Coturnix japonica: one gene and its partner. The protein of the gene in region 1 purifies or fractionates together with the protein of each later gene. This does not show direct contact. Links are inferred from orthologs where the notes say so. Each region holds a gene or a part of one and is shown on either strand. Other genes may lie near its edges.

What was found. Proteins that work in one complex are often made in the same cells at the same time.
Region 2: the proteins of PPM1G (region 1) and LARP7 purify together in Homo sapiens (affinity purification with mass spectrometry; 3 studies listed by BioGRID and IntAct, with this or other methods). This does not show direct contact. The link is inferred for Coturnix japonica from reciprocal best matches to the Homo sapiens genes PPM1G and LARP7.

Annotation. Positions count from the first base shown.
Region 1 is NC_029518.1:95,309,354-95,313,493, reverse strand, and holds the start of PPM1G (protein phosphatase 1G), read right to left. Parts: upstream 2,949-4,140; 5' UTR 2,751-2,948; coding exon 2,631-2,750; intron 1-2,630. Other genes in the region: NRBP1 (nuclear receptor-binding protein), read left to right, coding at 4,048-4,140.
Region 2 is NC_029519.1:51,167,275-51,170,922, forward strand, and holds part of LARP7 (la-related protein 7), read right to left. Parts: intron 2,731-3,648; coding exon 2,630-2,730; intron 2,517-2,629; coding exon 2,433-2,516; intron 1-2,432. UniProt on the Homo sapiens protein: RNA-binding protein that specifically binds distinct small nuclear RNA (snRNAs) and regulates their processing and function.

The sequences.
Region 1 (4,140 bases):
CTGTACATGCTCCCAGACTACAAAGATGACTGATACACAGAGTGCATACACAGGGATCTATCTCCACACGGTCACAGCAGCAGACCTGAAAGAAGACATTGCCCAGACCTTACAGCCAGTGTGACCTCTTTCACCCTGTGAACAAACCAAACATGCATGGGATTGTTTAAACCATGTGATCTTGCCTCCTTGCTGTGGTTGAAGCTCTTCACCTCGAAGCTCACTGTGCTCCAGATGCCCCAAAAGAAAAGCACTTGCTCCAAGTCAGCTGGTTCCACTGCCAGCCAGCCCCAAACAGTTCTAGACATACACTCAGCCACGTTGGATTGCTGCACAGCTGTGCAAGCTGAGGAGCTGTTCTGCTCTCAGCCTCACTTCTCATTGCATTTACAGAAGCCTGAGAGATAGCAAAACCACAATAAAGTAAGTGGGATAAGTCCCTGGTGACTAAGCAGCAGCTTAATTAGAGCAAGTAACGCAAATGGGAGGAAACCCAAAGCTGGCAGCAAAAATGAGCTTTCTACTCCATTTGTACAACTGCAACACGTCCTGATCCTGAACCGGGGCAGCACTGTTGAGGAAGCAAACAGAACTTGAAAGGTCAGTATTCTCCTATCACAGAATGACCTGGGTTGGAAGGGACCTCAAGGATCATGTAGTTCCAACCCCCCTGCCTGGCAGGGCCACCAAACATACACCTTTACTACACCAGGTTGCCCAGGGCCCCATCCAACCTGGCCTTGAACACCTCCAAGGACGGGGCATCCACAACCTCCCTGGGCAGCCTGTTCCAGGGCCTAACCACTCTCCTAGTGAAGAACTTCCCCCTAACATCCAACCTAAATCTTCCCTCTTTTAACTTAAAACCATTTCCCTGTGTCCTGCTATTGTCAGCCCTTTCAAAGAGTTTACTCCCCTCCTACTACTTACGTACGTGCTGCTAAGCTTCACTAACCAAAACCATGCCTAAGATCCTTGGTATTAAGCAAAAGAACACACTTTCTGCTCAGAACTTTCTCCAAGCTTTAAGGAAAAGTACAATTAAATGTGAAAAAAGGGGGAAAAACCCACCCCAAAAAAGCCCCACCAAACACTTGGGAGGTTCAGTTTGTACCACAGCACTCCCCCCATCTCATTTCTTGTGATAACGTAACTGAACTATGTTCACACCGATGGCCTCAGCGTTGCTTTTCCCAGTGGGGAGATATGCCAAAGATGTTGGTTAGGGCACAAAAAACACACAGCTGTGAGCTCTGGCTCTCATCCAATCTCCAGAAAGGTCAACAGCAGTGAGAACAGGCTTCAAAACAGCCAAACTGAGCCCACCTGTGGGAGGACTATGGTGGCCACCTAGTTATAGGCTCTCTGTTATCAACCATCCGAGCCCACATCCTTGTTTCCAGCCTCAGTGCAGCAGAACACTGCCCACATTCAGCCTTTTGCCACAAGCTAATGGCTGGATTTCACCCCAGTGCTCCAGTTATGCCACCATCCCACCCAGGCAAAGGTCAACACAATGGAGATGCTATCGGTCACAGCCGAGTGAGCACAAAAACACCGAGTTCACCTTAGGAACACAGGCACCAATTCTCCTTTCTGCCTCTATCTGCTCTAGAAACCATGCCCTGCAGCTTCAGAAAGCTCTGGTGCACACAGAAAGAAGGACAAACTCAGTCATTGCTTTGCCACCAATGAAACCACTAAAGCATTTCAGAAGCGATCTAGTGTCCCACTGTGACTTGTGGAATCATACAGACAGAACCCAATCCCTCATGCTGTGAATGGACCATCCAAAGGGCTGCAAACAAGAAGGTGCTTCTCCACATTCAGAGATGCACCCCTGAAGCTGCAGGGCCCGGTGTTGGTCCTTCTGTAGCTCCCCTTGTTTGCAAGCTGCCTGTAAAGGAGAATTAACCAGGACGTGAATGGTGTTCTTACACTCACTGGGTTGGAAGGAGCCTTAAACACCATGTAGATGTAAACTGCTGCTGCAGGCTGGGTTGCCAGCCACTACATCACACAGAGTCACACAGAATGACCCGGGTTGGAAGGGACCTCAAGGATCATGTAGTTCCAAGCCCCCTGCCTAGCAGGGCCACCAAACATAAACCCTTACTAGATCAGGTTGCCCAGGAGACCCCATAGACCCCATAGACCCCATAGATCCCCATAGACCCCATAGACCCCATAGATCCCCATAGACCCCATAGATCCCCATAGAGACCCCATAGATCAGGTTGCCCAGGGCCCCGTCCAACCTGGCCTTGAACACCTCCAAGGACAGGGCATCCACAACCTCCCTGTGCAGCCCGTTCCAGGGCCTAACCACTCTCCTAGTAAAGAAGCAGCACCAGCCCAGTGCCCACCCGTGGCCCTTAACACCTCTAGCGATGGGGCAGCGCTGCCAGAGCCTTAATACCCTCTGAATGACGATCTTCCAAGAGACCTCACACAAACCTCTATCAGTTTAAAGCCGTTCCCTCCGGTCCTATCGCTTTAGACCTGGGTACAGAGTTGCTAACCCTCCTTAGCCCTTATCTCCGGGCTCCCACCGGGCGGGGTCCCCCCGTAGAACGGCACAGGGCCGGGGGTGGCACAAGGGGATGGGATGGAGGGAGGACCCCGCTTACCTCCATGGAGACGCGCCAACCCTGCATAGCGCTAAAACCGAAGTGCAGCGGGCGCGGCCCGAGCCCGGCCCCATCCCCGGAGCTCTTCACCGTGTTGGGCTGCGAGAGATACGCGCCCATGGCGGAGGCCGCCGCGGTGGCAGCCCTCGGCGCGGCGGCCTTGCGCTGAGGGGCGGCTGGGGGAGGCGGACGCTGAGGAGGCCGGAGCGGAACGGAACGGGCGGCACCTGATGGGGGAGACGAGAGGGCGGCAAAGCGGCGAGGGCGGCGGAACCACCCACCAACGAGCCGCCCAGCGGAAGTAGCGCGGCCGGAAGTGAGGGCTAGAGAGTCGCCACGGGGAGGTTGGGGGAGGGGGGAGCTCAACCCGCGCGGCCGAGGCACGGGGACCGGAAGTGAGGAGCATAGAGTTGGGGGGCGCCTAGAGCGGCGCGGCCGGGGAAGCGCTCCGGCTCGGAGGACTCAGGCCTCTCGGAGGTCCATAGGCCGCAGCCCTGGGACTGCCGGCCGTCACACCGCCCGGCTGCAGCAGCCCCTCGGAGGCGGTGCTTCGTTTGTACGTGCATTGAGAACTGAAAACAGATAACACTATAGCGTTAACGGGATCCCACACGACATCACTCCACAAATAAAACCACTCCTTCGCCTTAACGGCCCACCACAGGGCCTCTGCCCGCTGCACTCTCTCCCCCGCCTTATATACCCCAGGCCCCCGCTGCCGACCAATCAGCGGACGCCGGCATCCCGCTGCTGCGCTCTGATTGGCCGCCGAGCCCCCCGCTCCCGCCCCATCCTGCCACACAGGTGCGCGGGCGCCCTCTATCGCGCCTCGTACCTCGAGCTCCTCCCACCGACCAATCAGAGCAGGACGAAGGGAAGCGTCCGCGTTCTGATTGGCTGGCGAGCGGTCGGCCCCGCCTCTGACGGCGCGTTACGCAGCGCGGCGGTTGGGGCGGCCGTCGGCGGAGCGTTCGGGGACCGGGAGGTGCCGGCTGGGCCCGGCAGGAGCGGCCCGTGCTCGGGAATAGCGGCAATAGCGGCCTTCAACAGCTGGGACAGCATCGGGGACCTGCTGTAGGTTGGGGGAGCGGCTTTAGTCGGCTGGTACGGCCCGCTCCGGCCTCCTGGGCCTGGCTGTGTGTGAGGGCCTGTGTGGGGGTGAGGGCCCGGCTGTGAGTGTGGGCCTGCTGGGTGGGTGAGGGCCTGCTATGTGGGTGAGGGCCTGCTGTGAGCGAGGCCTGGCTGTGGGTGAGGGCCTGGCTGTGGGTGAGGGCCTGGCTGTGTGCGGGTGAGGGCCTGCTGGGTGGGTGAGGGCCTGCTCTGAGCGAGGCCTGCTGTGTGTGTGGGTGAGGGCCTGCTGGGTGGATGAGGGCCTGCTTTGAGCTCGGCCTGCCTCCCGCAGGTGCTTCGACTCATCATGTCAGAGGGCGAGGCCAAACAGGCGCCGAGCGGCGGCTCCGACCCGAAACCGGAATCCGCTTCGTCAGGACCGGGGATGACCTCGGTGTCT
Region 2 (3,648 bases), on another chromosome or scaffold:
AAAAGCAAAAAGAAATCTTGTTTTCTCAGTATTGTACTATCATTTTATCAGATGGTTTGCTACATCTAAATAGAATTCTTCACAAAAAAACACATTTGATGTAACATTAAATAAATAATTTACTTCAGTAAATATTCTTGTCAGGAGGTCATAACATTCAGACAGTAAAGACAGTGATCTGAAAATGGATCTCTATACATTCTCCTATCTTAACAAATAATTTGGATTGAATTAAACAGGTTCATCTTCTTCCCTTGACAGAAACACCAAGGCTTCACATGTCACTGCCTTGTTCAAAGATAAACCATCTCTGTCCAGTTAAGATCAGAGTAAGCATAACTCTGTATTGCTTCAAACTCATCAGCATAGAGCACAAGGATTGTGTTTGTTTGTTTCATGTTGAGAACTCAGGTGTCACACAAATTAATTCTTGCAGGTCACTAAAGAGGTACTACTCAAATTGGTTTAAGCTCTACCAGCTTTTTAATACAGCAACACATTTTAGGAGCATGCACACACAATGCCTCAGTTCTTAACAGTTTTCCTTCCCTTATCAAAGAAACATTCTATTGTATCAGTGCCTAAAGGAGACTCATTTGAACACAATTTAAAATCAGTACTCCCAGATACATGCCTGAATTAAGTAACCAATACTTCTCTCTTTTTTTTTTTCCATGACAAGTTACCATTCCTTAAAGGATCACTGCTCCCCCTCATGGCTTAATGAGTTAAATGACTTCGAGAAGTCATTTAACATGGCTCAACAGTCTAGTAATAACAAAATAAGGGGTGGGTATCTGACACAACAGGCTTCTAAAATGTGATAAAACAAACAATATCCCTCTTCCCCTTTCCAAACAAACAAACAAAACCCCACTAAACCAACCAACCAACAACAAAATAACTCTGTACCTTTTTGGGTGGTAAAGAGAGGATATAGAACTGCTACACATTCTCCAAATAAGATTTTTTATGGATTAACTAAATTACAAAACCCAAATCACCTATTTTGGTTTTACAGAAAAAGTTAAAATTAAGGAAAATCCAGTTAACTATGTAGTTAGGTTATATCACTCAATACATTGAAATATTATATGAAGGCCTTCATATTGGGTTCAATTCTATTAAAAATGCACATAACTTTTAAAGAAGTGACAGTACAACCATCAGATCTCTTTCCACTTCCCAACACAAGTGGCTCAACAATACAATAATAGTAGACCTACTCTGAGATCTAAAATATCATACTGAGAAGCAGCATAAGCTATTTTCATTTATGTTAGTGAATCATTGAACTAGTAAGGTTGCCACATTATGCTAGTAGGAATATTTTAAAAAGCAACCTTAACATAAGATTAGCTCACTTAAGTAAATCCTGCAACTAAAAGAATGTTTACTTCATAAATGCTTGCTAGTACCACTGTGACTCCTCTAGCAACATTAATCAGAAAAGCCCAGGGAAATAAGTAAGATATGGATGAAAATACACCATTTCCATGCCAGGATGTGAAACAGCTCTTTGCTCAGCATTTTAAATCAAGACAATGCTAGAAGACAGCATATGACACTAAACCCATTCCTTTCTTGCCCTGGTCTCTGGCTGTGATCACCTACTTTCTCTTTACTTCCTTTACTCTGCACAAGCAGTAATAGTCAGGCCCTGACCTCTCTGTGCTAACAAAAGTATAAATGAACAGGTATTTTCATTCGTTATAAATGAACAGGTCTGTTTAGCCTTGAGAAAAGAAGGCTGAAAGGGGACTTGATCCAGGTTTATAAATACCTGAGGTGTGGGGGCCACAGTGGTGAGGCTGGTCTCTTTTCAGTAGTGCGTGGGGACAGGACTAGGGGTAATGGGATGAAACCACAGCATAGGAAGTTCCACATGATACAGTGAGGGTGACGGAGCACTAGAACAGGCTGCCCAGGGAGGTGGTGGAGTCTCCTTCTCTGGAGATATTCAAGACCCACCTGGACACCTACCTGTGCGACATGATGTAGGGAACCCGCTTTGGCAGGGGGGTTGGACTCAATGATCTCTAGTGGTCCCTTCCAACCCCTACAATTCTGTGATTCTGTATTCCCAAAACAAATTTTTATTGCATTGAAAGTACATATTAAGCCTAATATATGCCTCATCATTACAAGTTTAGTACATCTCTCTCCTTTTGTGCTGTCTTTTTTCTGAGAAAAAATCCTGTTTCCTGGTACTTTGATCTTGTCAAAGAAAATCCAACTTTTAACTGTAGTAAAATATGCGGCTGCTTTGTTGTATGTGCCATTCTTATTACTATAATAATTTGCAATCAAGTTACAGCCTGAAAAATGTACAGTGTTTTTTTTCAGCAAGAATAGAAGTTTAAAGTATTTGTAACAGCTGGAAATAAAGTGCTCTGTGAGACACAAAGCTCACAAAACAGGTACAAACTTACCACATAGACTGTACGACTATCCACATCCTTTGGTTGTTCACCCAGCGGCTGGCGTCTTCTAATCCTAGTTCCTTCTAAATCCAACTAGAATTTAACCAGAAAAAAAAAAAACAACACAGTCAGCAGGACTGACTACTTCAGTTCCACTATAACTACTAATCCAATTGCAGCAAAAGAGTGAAATATTGAACACCCACCTCTACAACAGATGAACTTTTAACTGCTCGTGCTATCAATTTTCCATCAGTAGTCAATTTTTTCATTTTGTTGAAAGAAACAAGCAGTGATATGTCAACATCTGAGAAGGAAAAATAAAAAATAAAAGGAGCACATGATGAAATCAACGCAATTTAGAAAGCCCTACTTGTGTGTAACAAACAGACATCAAGAATGAGCTAGAATTCCCATGAAAAGAATGTGGCAGTCATTACTCCAGCATGCAAACCCACACTGCAGACTGATGAGGATCTACAGAAAGTTGTCACCATCAGAATTCAAGCTTCAAGGAATCCTATATTTAACGTTTTGTGCTCATCTATCAAAGGAATTTCTGTCTTTTACCTTCCAAATGATAATTGTCCTTGAAAAGAAAGGAAGAAAAAAAGCCTTTGTGATGTACTTTTACAGTACAGAAATAATTTGCAGTGAAAACATGTTTCTCCTTGTGTTTAACCTAGCCTTTCCAACACAAAAGAGCCCCAGCTTTTACTTCAGCTGAGATGAGTCATGCTGATAACATCTGAACAGAAAATTATGCAGTACCAGTCTTAGTTAAAAAACTGTTCGAGACATCCAAACTTTAACACCCACAGAAAACATAAAGAATTTTCTTCTATACACTCTTTAAAAAACAACTTGGAAGTTCAATGCAATTGAGGACTCTGACAAGTGATATAGACTTCCCACACAACACTGATGGGCTAATGATTTATACTTCAAGTATGGAATCCTTAAGAAAACAAAGAACACACTTATGGAATCTGAAATGCATTATTTCTTTTGCTGGAAAAGGACTGTCTGTCTCTATAGATACAGCACAACTGATATAATCCATCTGGAGTAACACAATTGAGCAAATATACTGATAGATCATCTTAACCACAAATTTACTATTCTTAAAGCAAAAAGCATAATTGTTAGTGCAGCTAATGTGTAAACTAACTTCTGCTTCAGGATGAGCTGAGTAGTTCCAAAACCAAGCTCTATCTCCTAACCT